2 linked regions of the Mus musculus genome follow. The protein of the gene in region 2 binds, or shares a complex with, the protein of the main gene of each other region. Links are inferred from orthologs where the notes say so. Each region holds a gene or a part of one and is shown on either strand. Other genes may lie near its edges.

Region 1 (10,088 bases), on a different chromosome or scaffold from region 2:
TCAGTGCTGGGATTAAAGGCCTGCACTACCACCGCCCAGCCACCATGCCCATTTTTATAGACAAGGAAGGCACCCAGCTAGTAGGTCTATCACACTGCTCTAAACATAGATGTGCTGCTCACCTCTACCTTCGGGGAAGGATCTGCCCCGCCCCCTCATTGCAGGGAGGAAAGCAGTAGCAGTGACAGCTCACAGGTGAGCCCTCACGGACATGGGGATGTCAAACCTCTCTGGACAGCTCCATGTGGTACCCCAGGGACAGTGTTCCAAGGCTACTCCAAAGCTCCCTGTTCCCTGAGTAGCTCTGAGCTCTCTCTCATGGCAGGCAGGTGACTATCCTCTGCCTAGTCCTGCTTCCTCCTGCTTATCTTCACATGTGGTGGCTTATAATCATTACAGAATACCCGACACTTCTCAGAAGTGGCACTGGGACCCCATCTGAGCTAACTGGTAAGTGGCAGAGAGGCCATGCAACCACTCACGGTGATAGCTCACACCAGGGCTGTAAGATGAGTGTGTGAGAGTGGCACCCAGTAGGGCCTCAACAAACGGGAGTTACTATACCATGGCCACAGCCCCACCAGATTCCTTGGGAAAATGCCAGGAGTACAGGCTCCCCAGCTTGGGCCAGGGTGGGGCTGAGGTTGGGAGAGGCTGTGGGTGTGGTGCAAAGGAAAGGAGAGTGCCACCAGGCCACCTAGCCTTCAAGAAGGAGAGCTAGAGACCCACAGAGAGACCAAACACCAGGAGCTGAGGGAAAGCAAGCAGGCAGGATGCATGTGCACTGTCAGAAACAGCCCAGCAAACCCTGTGCCTAGTATCTGGGTCCAAAGATTGTGTGGTACAAGAGGCCATGCATGGCACAGGCTGCAGCCCAGGAGTCCTGTGGAATCCATTAGATGGCTGGAGAGTCAATGCATTGTCCGGGTGTATCAACTACCTAAGTATCAACTTCCCTATGTGTCAACTACCTAGATCAACAATGACTGCGGGGGGGGGGGGGTGGGGGGTGGGGGGTGGGGGGGGGGGCGCACCCCTTCCTACGCATCTGCTGGTAGAGATGACTTTCTTCCTCTTAAATAGGCTTGCTTCTCCCTCTACTCTGAAAGTCCTTTCTGAAGTCCGACTTCCATCTCTTGGGCTTCACTGACATTCCCAGGGATTTGAGCATCTATTAGAGACTGGGCAGGGAAGAATAATTTGGCAATAGGGAGAAATTATCCACATCTTTATAGAGAGCATACAACTCCAGAACATCTGTACCTGTAACCAGACATGCCTACTCCTCATGGCCTTTCTCTCGGAGAAGGAATGCTGAGCTTGGGGACGGGTGGGGGGAGAATGTCCAAGGTAGAGATAAAAATAAAAGGGAGACCCTGTGTCCTCTGGAAATAGCCTCTCTCCCACCCTCTCTGGAGTCTCCCTTTTCGAGAACCCCAACTTACCCTTAAAGACAAAGTTATAATCTTCATCTGTTCGATTCCCCATCTTGGCTCAGCATGGAGAGTGAAGACGTTTGCAGGTGCAGAGGTCACGAGTCTGTTTATTGTTTAAATGGCCTCAACTCTCAGCTTTTAAGAGACCTGCACCTGGCTCCTCTCTCATTGGGGGAAAAGGACAAGAGGGCTCAGTTGAGGCCAGGAAGAGCCCCAGAGGCTCAGCTCTGGCACGTTTAGCTACTCTGTGGGAGCTGAGAGGACGGAAGCTGAGAACAGGAAGAGCTAGCCAGCTCCGCTGGGCACCTGGGGCACAGGTGGGTGGAGCGATGATGACGTCAGACAGGTTAAACAGGTTAGGTGTCTGCTCTTGGCCCACACTCCCCCAAATAAGAGGGCCTGGTCACAGAGGTAACAGTGGGTGAGGCTGCGGCGAGCCCGAGTGTACATTGCTGGGTTTTGGGGGTTCTAAGAAGGAGAGCTGCCACTGGGCTGAAGTAGACACGGGGTGGGGCAGAAACGTACCGGCCTCCAGCTTTCCCATCTCAGGTTTTGGTAAGGACACATACCGGGGGGCATCAGGGGAAGGGCTATCAGGGCAAGAAATGCAAGCTGGGCACAGCATCTCCCCACAATGCAGAGTTTTGGGAGCTGTACCAGCACGCAGCATCCGGCCCCTCCTTAACAGCCCCAGGCCAGGGAGGGGCAGCATTTCTCACACAGGTGGAGCTGGGACGCCACCTGCCCAGATGGGTCCCTTCCTAACATACAATAAACAGATTTACTACCTTCGTGGACGGATCTCAGAGACAAGGGCAGAAAGAGCTGGATGCGGTGAATATGGGTGCAGGATCTGAGATGAAGACCTTGAGGCCTTCTGGGGGTCAATCTTCTGACTGCCATGCTTGTATGTGGGACACACCTATCCACGCGTCATGTACGCAAACAGTAAATAAGTAAAGGCAATGCAGAGGAGTCTGCTGTGCTCACACACGATTTTTTTTTTTTTAAATTAAAACAAATGCTGCAGAGAGGATCATGAAAAGGTAGGGAAAGGAGCAGGAGCACTCCTTAAATTAGAAAGGGTGACCTCTATTTTCTGTGTCCAGCAAGAACAGGCATTTGCTCCTTTAGATCAGTCCCAGGTGCTGCAAAACGGGCGGGTGAGATTCTGCTCTGAGGGTTGAGTGAGCTCAGCAGCTAAGGGCACCGCTGCTCTTGCAGAAGACCCTGGTTAGGTTCTCAGCATAGCTCTCTCACAGCCACCTGCTAACTCTGGTTTCAGGGATATCTGATGCCCTTTACAGGCACAAGTGCAGACACACAAACAGTCAAAACACTCATGTACATAAAATAACCTAAACAATTTTTTCACACGGGTGTAGTGGCACATACCTTTAATCCCAGCACTTGGGAGGCAGAGGCAGACGGATTTCTGAGTTGGAGGCCAGCCTGGTCTACAAAGTGAATTCCAGGACAGCCAGGGTTATACAGAGAAATCCTGTCTCACAAAAACCAAAAAACAAATTGTTTAAAGAAAAGCAATTCTGGGAGGATGGGAAGGGAGCTTTTTGCAATGTAAATAGAATAAACATATAAATTAATGGAAAAAAAAAGCAATTAGGAGTATGATGAGACACAGCACTGGAGAAGCCAAGGGCACTGGGCAGCCCTGCCAAGAACCACTGAGAGATTTGGTGATGGGGAATGAGAGAGCCCACCTTTGCAGGAGAGGGGAATCCTCCCGAGGAAACCACTCCACACTTTCCTCCCAAGAAAGCAGGTGAGACACAGGTAAGAGTTGAAAATTTATTCAGAAAAAAGCAACCCCCCCTTCCTGTACCTCGCCCGATATGGCGTTTCTAGGGCCCCGCCCCTCCCTCCAGATCATCATCCCTTTTCTACTCCAGCCTCCATCACGCTGTTATGATGCTGCTACTTGGGTGAGGGGTTCCTCCAGGTACTGCACCAGGGCCTGGGCCTGCAAGGAGGCAGGAGCACAGTCAGTCCATGCATCGCTTATGCTTAGACGGATCCCTGAACCACGCTGGCTCCCCACGCCACACTTAGCAGCCAACTCCCCCCCCAGCCCACCCCCACTGCTCTTTAGCCCATCCTAGACATGGAGTGAGGAGCTATGAGAACTCCAGAGAGGGGAGGGACATGTAAGGAACACAGTGAACAGGAACTAAGGCTGGATCAGTGCTGGGATGATGATATTGCGCCCTATGTAAAGATCATCTTTGTATTATTATTCAAATGCCGATTTCTGTGCCAGCAGAGTTTAATGCAGACTGGACTTTGGTTCATTTGGTTTCATTTGGCTACATATTTTGTAAACACTCTCGCTCACCTTTTGATCAGCTTATTAAAAAGCAAAGGCAGGAAGTAGGAGGTGGGACTTCCAGGAAGAGATAGGAATTCTGGGAGAGGAGTTGCCAGCTGGACAAAGATGAGGAAGCAGGTACCAGGACATGACTAAGATGGACAGGTAATGGGTCATGGACATAGGCCAAGCCAATATGGTTGGGTTAGAATAGTTGAGAATCTGCCCAGCTATAGTGCCCAAAGCTCATAATAAACCTAATTAAAGTCTCCATGTCCTTTATTCAGAGCAAGGGCATGCATAGATGTTACAGCCCAGAAAGTTTATAACAGAGGAATATACTCACCTTAGCCTTGAGCATTCCGAAGCCTACGGTCTCCTTGGCATACATACATAGCAGAAGGTTGGCCACCCTCGTAATGGCTACACGGCCCTCCTGGTGGGAAGGACATGATACTTTGGGGCATTCTGCTTGACATCCTTAGTTCCTGCCTTCCCCAGGGTTCCTCTGGTCCTAGTGACATTGTCTCCCAAGCTTAGCAGAGCAGGAAGTTCAGCTAGGAGCTCTGCCCAGCATTTAAGACATGGGGGTCTGAAACTGGATTCCAGCCTCAGCTGAGCCATGTGCTAACCAAGCTATCCTGGGAAACCAAGTCTTCCAGAACTTGGGGTTCTCTTCTCTAATGCCGAGAACTGTCTCAGCAGGTCAGGACCAGGAACCCAACTCGTATGCTGCTCTGGCAGTAGGCTTGAGTTCGAATCCCAACACCAACACTGTGCTCACAATCATCTATAACAGCAGTTCAGGGGCTCCAATGCCTTCTTTCAGCCTCCTTGGGGGCATCATGCATGCACATGGGGCACATATATACCACCTGGGCAAAGCAACTCATACATACAGAATAAAACAAACCTTAAAAAGGTAAAAACAACTCCCCCCCACACACACACAACCCAACTTATGTCTCTTCTTTTCCTATGGTGTAACTTTTCAAAATGGGGATCAATTAGGGTGGGTCAACATTTGAAAATAACAATAAAAATGTCATGGCACATCTATGTGAGAGAAGTGATGTTTCACAGAACTTGCTCCAGTGTGTATACTAGCCTCTGACTCAAAAATAAAAACTGTGTTTCTTGGAATGGGTTCTAGAATCCCAAACACTCTAGGCAACTGCTCTACCACTGAGCTCCACATCTGTCCCTTAAAAAGCATTTCTTAGAGCTTAGCTAGGCTGCAGTGACACCAGCCCTGGACTCAGTACCCAGTGTGAATGAGAGTGGGTGTAAAGAATGGGCTGCCAGCATGACAGTGAAGAGCTTCCCAAGGGGCCTTCCCCACTGCAAACACCTTTTTCAGTTCTGCACACTGCCACTCTTCAGAGGACTTTAGCCCTTTCTCCCGACAACCTTTTCCCATTCTGTGATGCTCCATCTTTACTGATCTTTGTCCAAGCCTCACTCCGCCCTCGGCCCTTTGCAATTGCTGTTGTCAGAAATACTTGCAAAGTCTGCTCGGTGGTGGTGTACACCTTTAGTCCCAGGACTTGGGAGGCAGAAGCTAGCAGATTTCAGAGTTCAGCCTGATTCTATAGAGTGAGTTCCAGGACAGCCAGGACTACACAGAGAAGCCCTGTCTCGAAAAACAAAAAAAGAAAAAGAAAGAAAGAAAACAAATACTCGAAGAGAGCCTGCCTCAGTCTCTCGTGTACTGAACTAGAGGCATAAGCCACCATAGCAAGCACTGTTAGAAATATTTCCCCAAATGATTGCTGTATGGCTTAATTCTCTTCCCCTTTCCTATCGTCCTTCGGATCTTTTAACAAATGTCTCCTTTTCACTGAGATGGACCCTCACATAGGCCAGCACCGTACTCTCACTTCCTTTTTTAATATCTATGTTTTATTTGGCAAGGTGCGATGGTGCACACCTGCAATCTCAGGGTTGAGGTGGCAGAAGCAGGATAATCATTGCAAGTTCGAAGTCAGCCTACTTTACTCCATACCATGCAGTCCATCAGGATAAATTTGAGACTGTCTTCATTAAACGCTTGGTTCCCGTTCCTATCATACGCGGCCCAGATGTTACTGGCGATGGCCGCAGTGACCCGGGCATCTGTGTCCCCATAACCGGAGTAGGCCAGCAGCGATCCCTCATTATTCAGCAGCCTGGCAAGAATGGGAAGGATATCAACAAACTCAGGAAGAGTGAAAGGTCTGAGTTCCTATCCCAATTCCAGCTACTGGCGCTTTTAGGAAGCAAGAATCCAGGAACACGCTAATCAACTGTCCATTTCCCTTTCCGAGGAAGCCCTCAAGCAGGGTTTCCGAAGCTGCAGCTTGCAACATTAGCCACCTCCCGGCGTAGGGCTCTTCCCTACCCCTACTGCAGACAGCCGCGCGCCGCCCCATTCCAGCGCTCGCTGCTTGGGTTCTTGTTCACTCACAGGGTGCTCTGGACTCCTCCAGTGTTGGCTTGGCTTAGCACCTGCGTCAAAGCCTTGGGACGCAGCATGCCTGCGTCTCTTAACCCTGACCTGCACCAACACACCCCTACAGTCGCAGCCTCTTGCTCTCCCTCAGTCGCTTCCGGTGGCCCAGGAGCCCAGCTACGAGGCGCCTGGGAGTTGTAGTCACCGGGCCCATCTACTGAGGCTCTGGCCCAATTCCCGCCCCGCGCGAGGGCCTCTGGGAATCGTAGTTTCATGTGATCGCTCAAGGAATTCTGGGAACCATAGTTCAGCGTTCCAGTGGGACCATGTGGTTGTGGAGTTGGGGGGGGGGAGAGCGGGAGCGCAAGGACAGTGGCAACGGTGGAAATACTTTTAACATCTTCCACGCGAAGGACGCCTTCGTGCCTACTGGTCAATCGCAATCTAATAATAAATCTATCTGTTAGGCACATCCTTGACCATTTTTTAAAGCAATATTGTACGCTAGTCACAATTCTGTGGGGTCTTGCTCTTTTACTCCCAAGGCTCAGAGAAGCCACGTAGGCAAACTCCAGGTCTCTGAAACCGTCCTTAATGGCTCCCTCGGGGCGGTTCCCCGGAGGCCACGACTGCTCGAATCCGCAGAGGTCTTAAGGACGTCCTGAACCAGGAACGAACCCAGGCCTCTCAAGAAAACCAAGTGACCCCAGGGAACGGAGATAAGACGGCGACAACGAAAGTCCTTTGTCCGAACAGGAGGGAGCCGCAGGCGGCCCTGAATCTCCCGCCCTCCGCGCTGTCCGGCCCGGGCCAGCTGCGCACCCTGCTCGGGCCTGGGCCGCCCCAGCTGCAGTGCTCCCCCAGGCCGCCCGGGGCGCTGTGGCTGCGGCTGTCCGGAGTGGGCGGCGGAGCCTTGGGGAGGGGCGGGAGGGGGAGTTGGAGGCCCCGGAGTCGGGCCGGGCCGGGCGGGCCGGGAGGAGGAGGAGGAGGAGCCGGACGGGCTGGCGGGCGGCCGGGCGGCGGCATGGCGGAGCCGAGTGGGGCTGAGACGAGGCCCCAGATTCGGGTCACCGTCAAGACCCCCAAGGACAAGGAGGAGATCGTGATCTGCGATCAAGCCTCGGTCAAGGAGGTAGTATCTGGCTGGGAGGAGACAGGAGGGCGGGAGCAGCGCACCGAGGGGGTCAGAGCAGAGAGGGAGACCTCGGGGTCGGCCTGGCGCCGGGGACGGGCCCCCGGCCGGGGCGGAATCCAGGGGCATACAGGCGGGAGAAGCGGGTAGGGGGCGCCCTGCCAGGGCTAGTCCGGGGAGCGTGGCGCGGGTAGGGGCCGGTTTGGCCGCGCTACCCGGGCTGGGGGCGTGGTGGGGGAGCTTGAGGAAGGGACACCTTGCTTGCGGGCTCCATTTGGAGCCTAGGCTTGAGGAGAGTGTGCTCCAGGGTCACTGGTAGAGGTTCCAGGCGCTAAGGCACCGTGCGGCCCGAGCGAGCTGCGGCTATGCTCTCCCGGGAGTGTCGCGTGGTGGTGGTGCCCTCTCTCTCTCTCTCTCCCTCTCTCTCTCTCTCCACAGAGCCTCCTTGTCGCAAATCGAAACGGTTGTGTAGTTCAGTTTTCTGCTCTACAGGATTTGCTGAGCGCAGTAGGTGCTCAACAAAATAATATAGAATGAGTGAGGGAGTATTGCCTGTGTTCCCCACTGCTTGAAGCTGCTCCAGAATTGCACATAGGCGGGGCTTAGAATAGGCCATCTGGTTGGAAGAGAGGGATCTTTTGCTTAGCAAGTGCACTGTTTATAGTTAGAATATGTGTTGTGTTGTGTTGTGTTTTGGAGGAGCTGATAGAATCTAGAAAATTTAACTCGCCCCAGTGTAGCCGTTGGTACCACTGCTGCTCTCTCATTAGAGAATTTTAAGTCCCCTGGGAAAAGCTGAATTATAAAACAGCTCTTATTGAGAATGTGTCTGATGAAGACATTGATGTCCAGACCTGAGTTCCTATATCCCCGGATACATTACCTCTTCTCTGATCCTTATCTTTAAATTCCCAGCCCTGGGGAGGTAGAAGCAGGTGGATCTATCTGAGTTCGAGGTCTACATAGAAAGTTCCAGGACAGCAAGAGCTACATGCAGAGACCCTGTCTCTTAATTAATTAATTAATTAATTAAATTTAATTAATTTAATTAAGTAGAGATGGTAACTAACACACTAGATTCCTCAATAGATCTCAATAATACTCTAGATTATCTGTTATAGTGATGAGGAAGCTGGGACTGAAAAGCAGAGAGAAGGCTGAAGAGAGACAGCCTGAGCCCAAGGCTAGTTGAAGGATTTAGGATGGGGAGGGCTGCCCATGCCTCTGTGAGGTATCACTTTCAGAGAATTGGGTGGTGGGACAGAAGCTGCTGTTGTGGATAGCAGCAGGGGCTTTCCAGGGTTGGGATACTGTGTCATGGAACTAATTGAATGGATTCTTGTAGCTAGAGGGGCAGAACTGAGGGTCAAGTCTTGCAGCGGGGCGCAGTTGGCCTCTGCAGTGATCTCTGCCTCTTGACCACAGTTCAAGGAGGAGATCTCCCGGAGGTTTAAGGCTCAGCAGGATCAGCTGGTCCTGATCTTCGCAGGCAAGATCCTCAAGGATGGGGACACCCTGAGCCAGCACGGCATCAAGGATGGGCTCACAGTCCACCTAGTCATCAAAACCCCTCAGAAGTAAGTACAGACAGGAGCTGCCCTTGCTCCTGATTGTGACCTCACCTCCCATTCTTTCTCACCTGTTCAGCAGCCAGGCCTGGCACAGATGGATAAGGTCTTACCTCTGGGGGAGCCTGTCAGTACTCCCAGGTTGCCTTAGAGACTGTTGATAACTGATACCATCCCTCTCCCCAGCATCCTGCTAGCCTGGGGTAAGGGTGGAACAAGGCTGCTTAGGAGGTGGCTTGAGCTGTCAGTCCAAGGCCACCTTGTCACTTGTGCACACTCCAGCCAGGTTTCCCTACTCTTTGTCCTCAGGGCTCAAGATCCAGTGACTGCTGCTGCTTCTCCTCCATCCACTCCTGACTCTGCCTCTGCACCCTCCACCACGCCTGCCTCACCTGCCGCCGCCCCTGTCCAGCCCTGCAGCTCTGGCAATACAACTTCAGATGCTGGCAGTGGAGGGGGGCCCTCTCCAGTGGCTGCAGAGGGGCCCTCAAGTGCTACTGCATCGATCCTCTGTAAGCCTTTAGCGGGGGAGAGCATAATTTTGTATTGGCCAGGGGAGTGGGGTGCACAAAGATAAAGAAGAAGAATGGTCCCTGATCCCTAGTCCTAGTCCCATGACCGTAGTCACTCTTCCAGATGTTGGAACTTAAGCCAAGCTGGGGTGGGGAATGAATGATCGGTTTATGATGGTTTTTTTTTTTTTTTTTAAAGATTTATTTATTTATTATATGTAAGTACACTGTAGCTGTCTTCAGACACTCCAGAAGAGGGAGTCAGATCTCCTTACAGATGGTTGTGAGCCACCATGTGGTTGCTGGGATTTGAACTCTGGACCTTTGGAAGAGCAGTCGGGTGCTCGTACCCACTGAGCCATCTCACCAGCCCTTATGATGGTTTCCATGATTTCAGAGATGGACTCAAGTTCAGGAACAAAAGGAAAGATGGCGTTGGGGGAGGGGAGTCCTGGGTAAAGAGGGGAATGGAGAAAGGTGGGTCTACTTCTGTTCAATGCTATGCTTAGCTTGCCCCCTGCCTTTATAGAGGTCTCTTTCCTGGAGTTGTGGGAGTGACTGAAGAGGGAGGGACATGTCAGAAGCAATTAGGGTCTATCTTGGAAAGTCTGCTGGATCTTGGAAGGGTCTGAGAGGGAGACTCTGACCCTGCTCCTTCCCACAGCTGGCTTCGGAGGCATCCT
Region 2 (10,054 bases):
AAAGAGCAGCCCCAGCAGTCCTGCTGTCCGAGACCTGGTGGAGAGACACCAGGCCAGCCTGGGCCGTTCTCAATCTTTCTCCCACCAGCAGCCTTCCCGTAGCCACCTCATGAGGTAAGGGACTAGGATTGCTATCAGTCTGACCAAGAGTTGGGAGTTGGGGTCAGGAGCAGGCCACTTAGTGGGATGCTATACTCTCACAGAGCCAGCCCACAGCCTCTGTCTTCTTCCAGGTCAGGCAGTGTGATGGAACGCAGGGCCATCACACCCCCTGTGGCCTCTCCCGTCGGCCGTCCCCTCTACCTGCCCCCCGACAAGGCTGTGCTTTCTCTTGATAAGATTGCCAAGCGTGAGTGTAAAGTCCTGGTGGTGGAGCCCGTCAAGTAGCACCGTTTGCTAGCTCAACCCCGGACAGGACACGCCAGAAACCCTAAGCCCCAGAGGGTCCCTTGTTCCTAGGCTGTACCTCCCACTGTGGGCAGAGAGGCCTTGCAGGGCTGCCTGTCTGTGTCTGCTGGTGAGGGATGAGGGCAGAAGCTGTGAAATCACAGTGTGGCTGCAGCTCAGACAACAGTATTCCATAAGTTCGGGGGGGGGGGGGTGCGCGAGGGGAGGGCTGGCCCCACCCCAGCAGGGCAAGGGCTGCGGGAGCTCCCTTGTCCTGTCCTTCGTCCAGTTTACAGAGTATCCTCTCTCACTCGTGTTCAAGCCTCCCTGCCACTGCCGCTGCTGTTCCTTTGCACTCACCCGCAGGGCTGAGATTAGAGGGTGGTAGTGGTAAAGGGACCCAGGACAATGACTCTCCTGTCTCAGGGGTTGGATGGCCTCTTTCTGCCCCTCATGTTTACGTTGGCAGCCTGAAGCACTTTAAGTTCTGTTTTTGTTTTCTGTTTTTGTCTGTTCCTGTAACTTATTCTCTGACTACATCTTCCAGCTGAAGTAAAACTATTAAAAGCTGTTTGGGAGGGAGTATGAGTTTGTCTGTGTGTTGACCACGAGGGAGATGGTCTTCAGTTTGCAAACAGCTGCCTTCCTATGTATGTATGCTTCTCTGGTTCCTAGTTTTACTTACAGATGTGCACCATCGCACCTGTCTCCAGTTGTCAGTTTTATGATGCCTGGTGGTGATCCTGGCCCACTGACTGAGGTATAGCTGTCTCCCTAGAAAGTCGATGATAGGCACAAGGTGTAACCTCACCCCCACCCAGACAAACCATTCTGTGCACACATCCTGAGCCCTAGACAGGTTGGACTAGTGTTTATTAGGCAGAAGGGAAGAAAAGGGGTCCCCCTAGTCATAGTTCCCCTAGTCCCTTAGCGTAGAAGTCTCTTAAGCCTGGTGCCTCGCTCAGGTGGGGGGTCAGGAAGGAGGTAGTGAGCACAAGCCCAACTCCAGCAAGGACAGCAGAAGGTGGTATGCTTCCCCACCCCCACACCCCGGGGACAGGCCCCAGAGGCAGGCTTCTTCTCCAGCCCGTGCCTTTTATAGCTCAGACATCAATAGGTTCACGACCTCGGTTCTGCCTCTTCACTACAAACACCCTCTGTCCTGACACAGTCACCAGCAGCGTGTGTTCACCAAAGACCACTGCAGAGGGAAGGGAGCAGGAGTTAGTGGGTACAGTGGTCACCAAGGAGGGTCACAAAAAAAAAAAAAAAAAAAAGAATTGGCATAGGACAAAGCAACCCCTTGTCCTTATTGCTCTGTACTCATCCTAGAGGGACCTAGTATGAAAGCAGTAGTTGAACCAGGGACTACAGGAGGAAGTGGGAGTTGGTGGAATGGAGCCAGGAATTCCTTCCCTGAGCAGTGAGGCCGCTAAAAGAAACCCCCCCACCAAAGGCAGGAGCTCACCAGACAGGCGTTTGAAAGGGATGTTCGTGCCATGGTGCAACTGGAAGCCACAGGCTGTGCTGACCAACTCCGAGATGGCACTGGCTGCTTGCTCATCGTTCTCAAGGTCCCCAGATGACTGTGTGTGGATGAAGGAGGGTAGGAGCAAAAGACAGACATCAGAGTTAGGAACAAATTCAAGGCACAGGACCTCTGCCTCCTATACTTATGATCTCCCTTTATACTTGCCCGTAGTCCCAAATTACCCAGCTTCAGAAAAATACCACCTACAACCCCTTTATGATGGTGCTGTCTTTCCTTGTGCCATCTTGTTTCTCATTCTGAAATGCCAGGCTTCATTTGATAGCCATGTGAGGGGTCAAAACCTAGAGTATGATCACCAAGTGATCAGGTCCCCAGTCCCTCATGTGGGAGATTCTAGGCAGGGGCTCTACCACTGAGCCACACCCCAGCCCCTCACTGGGGGATTCTAGGCAGGGGCTCTACCACTGAGCCACACCCCCAGCGCCTCAGTGGGAGACTCCTGGGCAAGTGTTTTACTACTGAGCCACGCCCACAGCCCCTCACGAAGGATTTTAGGCAGATGTTATATCACTGAGCTAACTGCTCAGTCTTTGAAGGTTCTACCTGTTACTCAGTCTTCCCACTTGTCCTGTCTGTAGGCTATGAAGCAGAAACACCCACTTTGTCTTTAAAGTTTTCCCTCTGGCTAACCCTTGGGCAAATAACAAGACAGTAGTCCAGACGTCCTCTGGACAGTAGAACAGACTGTTTCAACATCCTCTTCCCACCGCTTCTAAATGGGTCCTTAACTAGATTTAGTTCCTTTTGCTCTCGGTATCTCCAGCTGTATACTGGGCCTATATTCTGCGCTTGTGAAAGTCTCATGAGAAAACAATGAAAACATAACAGTGCCTACATAATAAATGTACTACAACCGATAGCATTCCATCTCACTCGGTGTCTACAGTCAGGCCATCAAAATTCTCCTTAGCTACCTCCTTGGTCAGCTTCCTTTCTTGATGTCTTATTTGTTCAGGTACCATAGTATTTTTCTGGTTTCCCCTGTTCAGAGTCCTACTGGATAAGTACTTCAGAAAGGTAGAGTACATGTAGAAGTACTTTACCTAGTAATTATCTCTGGGCTGTGGGGGTGGCTCAGTGGATAAGAGTTTTTGCTGTACAAGCAAGAGGACTTGAGTTCAAATCCGTCAGGAATGACCACACTCACACCTGGAATCCCAGCACTGTGGGTGTACAGCCATGTGGACTGCTGAGGCTTGCTCAAGGCCGCCAGTCTAGGTACGGGTTCAGAGACCCTGCCTTAAGGAATAAGGCAGAGAGAGTGGTGAGAGTGGGTCTCTAATGCCCTACAATGGCTTCAGCACATGCATGGGCACACACCCGTGCAGGCACTAAAAACATAAGCTAAAATGTCTTCTGTCCTTGCTCCTCACTGCTACCAGTCCAGTTTCCTGCTTATATGGCTCTCCTGGGACACTTGTGCTACACCATTTCTGTGAGTCACAGTTGTTTTAAAACCCTTTAACCCTCAAGATTTGTCGAAAGATGTTGAAGCTAGCCGCAGGAAGTTCAGTATCAGTCTTACCACAGCATCCTTCCTCTTCAAATGGTTTCAACACAAAACCACGGCCAACTCGGGCACTGGCACACTCAGGCAAGCATGCCCGGCTCCCAACCCTGAGGGTTCTTTTCTCTTTCACAATTTTCTGCCCTTGCAGCGTAGCTCAATTCCTGCCTCTAGAGAAGTCTTGCCCCCACCCCACCCCACCTCACCCCCCAAAATTCTAGAGGCAGGCAAAAATGGATCAGAGCATAAAAGTGCTTGCCTCAATGCCTGATGACCTGAGTTCAATCCTCAAGACCCACATGGCAGGAGAATTCACTCCAAAGTGTCCTCGAACTTTCACCCCCTGTGGCACCCATACGTGCGTCCCTACAAGAATTTAACAAATAAAAACAAACTACAACTAACTAACTAATTGTATAACTTGGGTAATGGTTTGTTTGTTGTTTTTTGAGGCTGAGTTACATGTAGTCCAGGTTGTGATTGAATTTGATATGTAGCCAAAGATAAGCCTGAACATCTAACCCACTGTTTCCACCTTCCAAGTGCTGGGACTACACTCTGTTTGGTTTTATGCAGTATTGGGATTGAAGAGAAGGCTCTGTGCATGCTAGGCAACTCATTCTCCGTACTAAGCTACCTCCCCAACCTTTTGGTAATTAGCTTTTATACCACATATCCAAATACTACATAAAGCTTACTATATGGCAAGCAAGGAACCACAGAGAAGACAAAAAGAGACAACTTGGAAATATTTGAAGGGATTTCTGGGCTGTGTGTCCCCAAAGGACCCCCCCACACACACACACACACACACCCTCCACCCCACGCTTTGCTTTCCCACAACGCACCGCCAGCACTGCACCTTCGCTCAGCACCAGGTAGCCAAGCTGGTCTGGGATTCGCTCCAGCCCTTGGGTCAGTGCGGAAGTCTAGAGGGTAAAGAGACAAGGAGAATCATGACAGCCTTGCAAACCCATCTCCCTCCTGGATATGAGCCTTCCAAGGCCCTCATAATGGCTTGTAACACTGAGTCTCCATCCACGGTCACTATTGGACCTCTGAGCTCTTCCACTTGTCATGTAGGTGACCCAGGAGGCCTTCCTAGCCCCTCAACCCCTCCTCATGTCCCTTCCCACTCCAGTCCCCTTATGCCCCGCCCCTTGTGCCATCTAGACTACTCCCCCGCTGCAGAACACCCGGTAGCGGAGCCTTCCTTCTCCAGCCCTCCCTGTCGCTTCCCTCCCATCTCTGTTCCCTTTCGGTCCCAGGGTGGACTGGAGGTGACAGTGAAATGCAAGCCATAAGGTGGCAACAGAAGCTCGGAAAACAGGGACGCGGAACCGCAGGCGTGCACACCCGCGCATGCGTCCACACTCACCATCGCAGCCGTAGGTGCAGTGTAAGCAGTCTGCCGGATAGGTAGTTTCCGGCTCCAGGCTCGGGTCAGGTGGTTTCACCAGCTGACTGTAGCCCAGCCCTTCGCTTGAGGATTGGATGGCGGGTATGTCATTATACTTTATCAACCACTGCGGAGCCCCGCTTTCCGAACACATTCGTGGATTGGTTGCATTTCCCCGCCCCTCAGGATTTGCCTGCGAGAGTTGTCCGGAGAGTCGCGGGGCAGTGTCGCCACACGAACGTGCACTGCTTCTATCCTTTGCAATAGGAATATGCATCTGCCGGTGGCTTCCAAGAAGAAAGTAGAACAGTCCGGTGATGTAAGAGGAGTCTTAGGTGTCACTGTTCAACCTGAAAAGAGAAACTAATGTACCAATGTGAAAGACGATGGTTTGGTTTACACGTGAAAAGCTGTTCACGTGTTAACTTTCTGCCTTGAGTATATGTGTTAAGAGTGGATCGGCCCAAATATGGCTATGAATGAGTAAATCAAATTTGCTGTGTACACACAGTAGTGTAAGATCAATACAAGATGATAATGTCCTGACACCAAATGCAGCTTGAGAATCTCCAAAACAAGAGAAAGCAGGCCAGGGAGATGGCTTCAGAGACCACTCAGCCTTCAGAGGCTCAGACCCAACCAAAAGGACGGGTTGTGAAAGGGCAGGTTCATAAGGCTATATATTATGTGGTCCCATCTATGTAAGACGCTTAGCTGTGACTATTGCCGAATGCTTGTAATCCTAGTTTAAAGCCTGAGAGGCCGAGGATTGGGCTGAATAGGGAGTTCAGTGCCAGACTGAGGCCTGAGCTACCTACCAAGATCCTGATTAAAACACATACACTTCTTGCAAATACAGAAAAACTGAAAGCAATTACTAGTTGGTAGTGGGGCAAGAAAAAATAGGAAGTGCTTATTAATGAGGGTATGGCAGGGCATGTGATTTAAGCTTTTTGGAATTCATATTGAAGTCTGCATATCTTTGTGAATGTGCCGAAGTTACTAAGTTGTACACTAAATTAGTGAATTATATCCCCCACCCCATTTATTTTCAGTGCCAAGAAGCAAAGTCAGGGCCTTATGCATACTGGGTGTGGGTCTGTACCCACAGCACTAAACAAAGAAAGTCGTCCACCCCAAATCATCTTGTAGAAGCAGCAGCTAATTAGAGAAAATGAGGCAAGGCTGTAGCTATCGTTTCAAAACTTGCCTAGCATGCATAGGCCCCAGATTCAATCATCATGACCAAAAAATTGAAGTAGGGCTGGCAAAGTGGCTCAGCGGGCAAAGGTGCTTGGCACCATTGCTCTGAAGTGGGTATACAAATATCAACAGCTGCTTTGTACAATCCAGAGAATGGTCTACAGTAGCCACAATTTTTATTTTGAACGAGTGACTTTATAAAGTGAGTGAGAGAGAGAGAGAGAGAGAGAGAGAGAGAAGCACATCAATTTCCATCAAATCAGGTACTCAAGTATCCAAGTATCCAGCCAAAACTACCTGAGGAAGTCCCTTTAAGACAACTACGAACAGACAGAGTTCTGGGCAGAGCAGAGAGTTTCTTCAGGGAAGGCTTCTAAGTAAAAGAACAGAAATCATGAAATTGGGAGCTTACAGACATCCATCCAAAACCAACCTGGAGAGGCTGAGGTTGCTAGCTGGAGTTCTGGATTACGTTTTCACACCATGACTGAGCATTCAGCTTCTCTATAACATTGCAGGAACTTTTTTACCATGCGTGAGCCCTGGGGATCTCTGTTGGAAATGGTTTACCTGGCAGCTGTTGTCAAGGGCAATTTGCTTGTTGGCTTAATTGGTTGGTTGGTTGGTTGGTTGGTTGGTTGGTTGGTTGGTTGATTGGTCATTCTTGAGACAGAATATCACTAATGTAGACTAAGCTAGCCTAGAACCCAAAGAGCTCCTCTGGCCTCTGCCTCTGAAGTTCTATGATTGAAGGTGTGCTCCACCATTCACTGACAGGTACAAGATTTTTGCTTTTGATGTTCTGTTTGAAAAGACTGGAATTTGCACAGGACACACCAGGACCAAGTTCCCAACACAAAGGAGAGATTTATTTGCTCCAGAGGGACAAAGAGTGTGGATAGAAGACAAGGGAGAGGGGAAAGAAATATTTGCTCCAGACAAAGTGACTACCTCTGGATAAAGTGGAGACAGGCATGGTCCTTAGGCAAATGGCAGTTTATAAAAGTAAAATAAGAAACCTGTGATAGAATGAGTTGCTTTGTTTTGATTAGACATGATAATTAAGGTGACCAAAGGGAGGCTTTTGATTGCTGGACTTTAATATTTTAATACCAGGCTGGCCTTGAACTCAGAGATCCACACGACTCTGCCTCCATAGTGCTGGGATTAAAGGCCTGTGCCACCATGCCCTGCTTTATTTTTATTTTTATTTTTATTTTGTGTAGCTTTGAGTATCTGTGTGAGTATATGCCATCTGCGTGCAGGTGCCCATGATGGCCAGAAGAGGTCATTGTTTCCATGGGAACAAGAGTTACAGGGAGTTTTAAGCTACTCATCTAACTGGGGTGCTCTGCAAGAGCAGCAAACACTCACAGCACCAAGCCATCTCTTCAGCCTCCATGCCTGCAGGCAAGCTTGGACATTGGTAATTTGGGAAAAAAATGGATATATTAACTTGACCGTATGTGCATGCACATTTTGTTTGTATTCATGTGCTCCACCTGTATGCAAGGCTTAAAGAGGTTGGACGAAGGGATTAGATTCTCTGGAATTGGAGTTACAGATGGTTGTGAGCCATCACAATATTGCTGGGAATCAAACCTACTAAAGCCTTCTCTCTAGCCCCAGTAGTTTACTTATGTTGAACCTAAGCATTTAGCTTGGTGAGAGGTAGTTAGAGTAATAGATACTAGCAGTTCCCCAGGCTGGGGGAGGGATGCTGTTTGTCCCTCTTTTTTTGTTTTGTTTTGTTTTTTCAAACAGGGTTTCTCTGTATAGCTTTGGCTGTCCTGGAACTCACTTTGTAGACCAGGCTGGCCTCGAACCAGAGATCCGCCTGCCTCTGCCTCCCAAGTGCTGGGATTAAAGGCGTGCGCCACCACCGCCCGGCTGTTTGTCTCTCTTGACCTAAGATGTTCTCTATTCCTTTTGTTGTTGTTGTTGTTGTTGTTGTTGTTGTTGTTGTTCTTTTTTTGAGACAGGGTATCTCTGTGTAGCCCTGACTGTCCTGGAACTCACTTTGTAGACCAGGCTGACCTCGAACTCAGAATGGTTTTTTTTTTTTTTAAACACTCCAGATTTTATACCACTCCTGGTCTACCCTGTGACTGTTCCCCATCCCATACCTCCTCCTCACCCCCTGTCTCCACAAGGATGTCCCCACCTCCCCAACCACCACCTCACCAAACCACTCCACTCCCTGGGGCCTCCAGTCTCTTGAGGGTTAGGTGAATCTTCTCTGACAACCCAGACCTGGCCGTCCTCTGCTGTATATGTGTTAGGGGCCTCACATCAGCAAGCCTAGTATGCTGGTTTTTCAAGGCAGCATTTCTCTCTGTAGCCCTGGCTGTCTTGGAACTCACTCTGTGGACCAGGCAGAAACTTTCAGAGATACTCCTGCCTCTGCCTCCCTAGTGCTGGGATTGCAGGTATGTGGCTCCACCATCCAGCTAAAAGCTGTCTTTTAAAAAAAAAATTAAAAAGAGGGGTTTGGGAGATAGTTCAGTAGGTAAGGGTGTAAACACGAGGGTTTGAGTTTGAGTTCCCAGCAACACATTTAAAGATCTGATATGAACTTTGTGCCTGTAACTCCAGAGCTGTGGACACAAAGAAAAAGATGTTTGAAACTTTCTGGCTGCCAGCCTAGCTCTAGAGTCCAGAGACCCTTTCTCAAAGAACAAAGGTGACAGTGATAGAACAGGATGCCCTAAGATCTTATATTCAGAAAGGGATTGTGTACATATATGCAAAACATGGTCTCCTAATATAAAACTAGATTGTCCATGTGGTGCATAGAGAGAAGTATAAAATATGGAACCAAGTGTCATAGTGGGTGAGCCAGGGGTAGCTTCAGCTTTCTGTCATTCGGAGTCCATTTTTTCGGTGGCCACACCCAGGCTCTCCATCCATGCAGCCTCAGATCCCTCAGGAACACTCAGGTGGAACAGATGAAGGACAGAAATAATTCCACTTCATTGCGGACAATAAGCTTCCTTGGGTGGATGTTGTCTGGCACATTCAAGGTGGAGGTCATTTCCCATGCATCCACAAAGGCCACTCGGAGACCAACAAAGGCAGCTCGGAGCAAGCGATTCACCTGCAGTGTGAGCCAGTCACTGCCATACACGGATTTGTAGCCAGTATTGGCCAGTTTGATGATGACCAGAGTACTGGGTTCGTGGTCCAACAGGGCCTTCACAGCTGCCCGAATCCCTACCAGTCTTCGGGCAAAGATGGAGGGAGGGAAAGTGGTAAAGTGGGCCCCGATGCCCAGCACCACCACTGTGTAGGGTCCCCCAGCCAGGCCGTGTAGTTCTCTGGCCACAGAGTGCAGGGAGGCCACTGGGGTGCGGAGAGAACGCAGGGGCCAGCTGTGGGCCCTCCAGTGCAACACTGTCCCCCGAGTTGTCTCCACAGCCATCAGAGGACCTACCTGATAAGTGACATGTAGATCAACTGGCTTCAGGGCTGTTGGGAGGAGGAGAAGGAAGGTTTTAACTTAGGGAACCAAGCAAGATGGCTCAGGCAGGAAGGGCTCTTGCTACCATCATTTATAACTTGAATCAGATCTCCTGAGATCCATAAGGTAGAAGGAGAGAATTTGCTCATGCACATTGTCCTCTGAACTTCTCATACACTATAGTTTGTGACTGTGCGTGCATGCACACACACACTCAGTGAATTAACATGGGGTTGTTGTCTTCTCTTATACATAAACATTTATTTATTTATTTATTTATTTATTTATTTATTTTCTGGCAACAAATCTTACTATATTGCCTTGGCTGGCCTGAGCTTCACTATGTAGGTAAGGCTGGCCTTGAAGCCACAGATCTGCTTGCCTCTGTTTCCAAGTGTTGGGATTGAAGGTATGTAATTCTACACCCAGTATGCACATAGACACACACACACATGTACACACATGTATACAAACACACACATATATGAATGTGTATCACACATAACTATTTGAGAGAGTCCTATGTAGCTCATGCTAGATTTTAAC

Evidence for each region. Proteins that work in one complex are often made in the same cells at the same time.
Region 1: Lamtor4 (region 2) and Lamtor2 share a complex: the UniProt entries of both Homo sapiens proteins name them as parts of the ragulator complex. The link is inferred for Mus musculus from reciprocal best matches to the Homo sapiens genes LAMTOR4 and LAMTOR2.

The regions. Positions count from the first base shown.
Region 1 is NC_000069.6:88,546,588-88,556,675, forward strand, and holds Lamtor2 (ragulator complex protein LAMTOR2), read right to left. Parts: upstream 6,365-10,088; 5' UTR 6,277-6,364; coding exon 6,209-6,276; exon of another isoform or gene 6,143-6,208; intron 5,931-6,142; coding exon 5,768-5,930; coding exon of another isoform or gene 5,747-5,767; exon of another isoform or gene 5,643-5,746; intron 4,199-5,642; coding exon 4,109-4,198; intron 3,418-4,108; coding exon 3,361-3,417; 3' UTR 3,232-3,360; downstream 1-3,231. Other genes in the region: Rab25 (ras-related protein Rab-25), read right to left, coding at 1,446-1,488; Ubqln4 (ubiquilin-4), read left to right, coding at 7,218-7,325, 8,751-8,902, 9,203-9,405, 10,070-10,088. UniProt on the Homo sapiens protein: As part of the Ragulator complex it is involved in amino acid sensing and activation of mTORC1, a signaling complex promoting cell growth in response to growth factors, energy levels, and amino acids.
Region 2 is NC_000071.6:138,250,574-138,260,627, reverse strand, and holds Lamtor4 (ragulator complex protein LAMTOR4), read right to left. Parts: upstream 5,147-10,054; 5' UTR 4,828-5,146; coding exon 4,825-4,827; intron 4,376-4,824; coding exon 4,295-4,375; intron 1,974-4,294; coding exon 1,856-1,973; intron 1,589-1,855; coding exon 1,491-1,588; 3' UTR 1,233-1,490; downstream 1-1,232. Other genes in the region: Map11 (microtubule-associated protein 11), read left to right, coding at 1-114, 234-387; Nxpe5 (neurexophilin and PC-esterase domain family, member 5), read right to left, coding at 8,984-9,516. UniProt on the Homo sapiens protein: As part of the Ragulator complex it is involved in amino acid sensing and activation of mTORC1, a signaling complex promoting cell growth in response to growth factors, energy levels, and amino acids.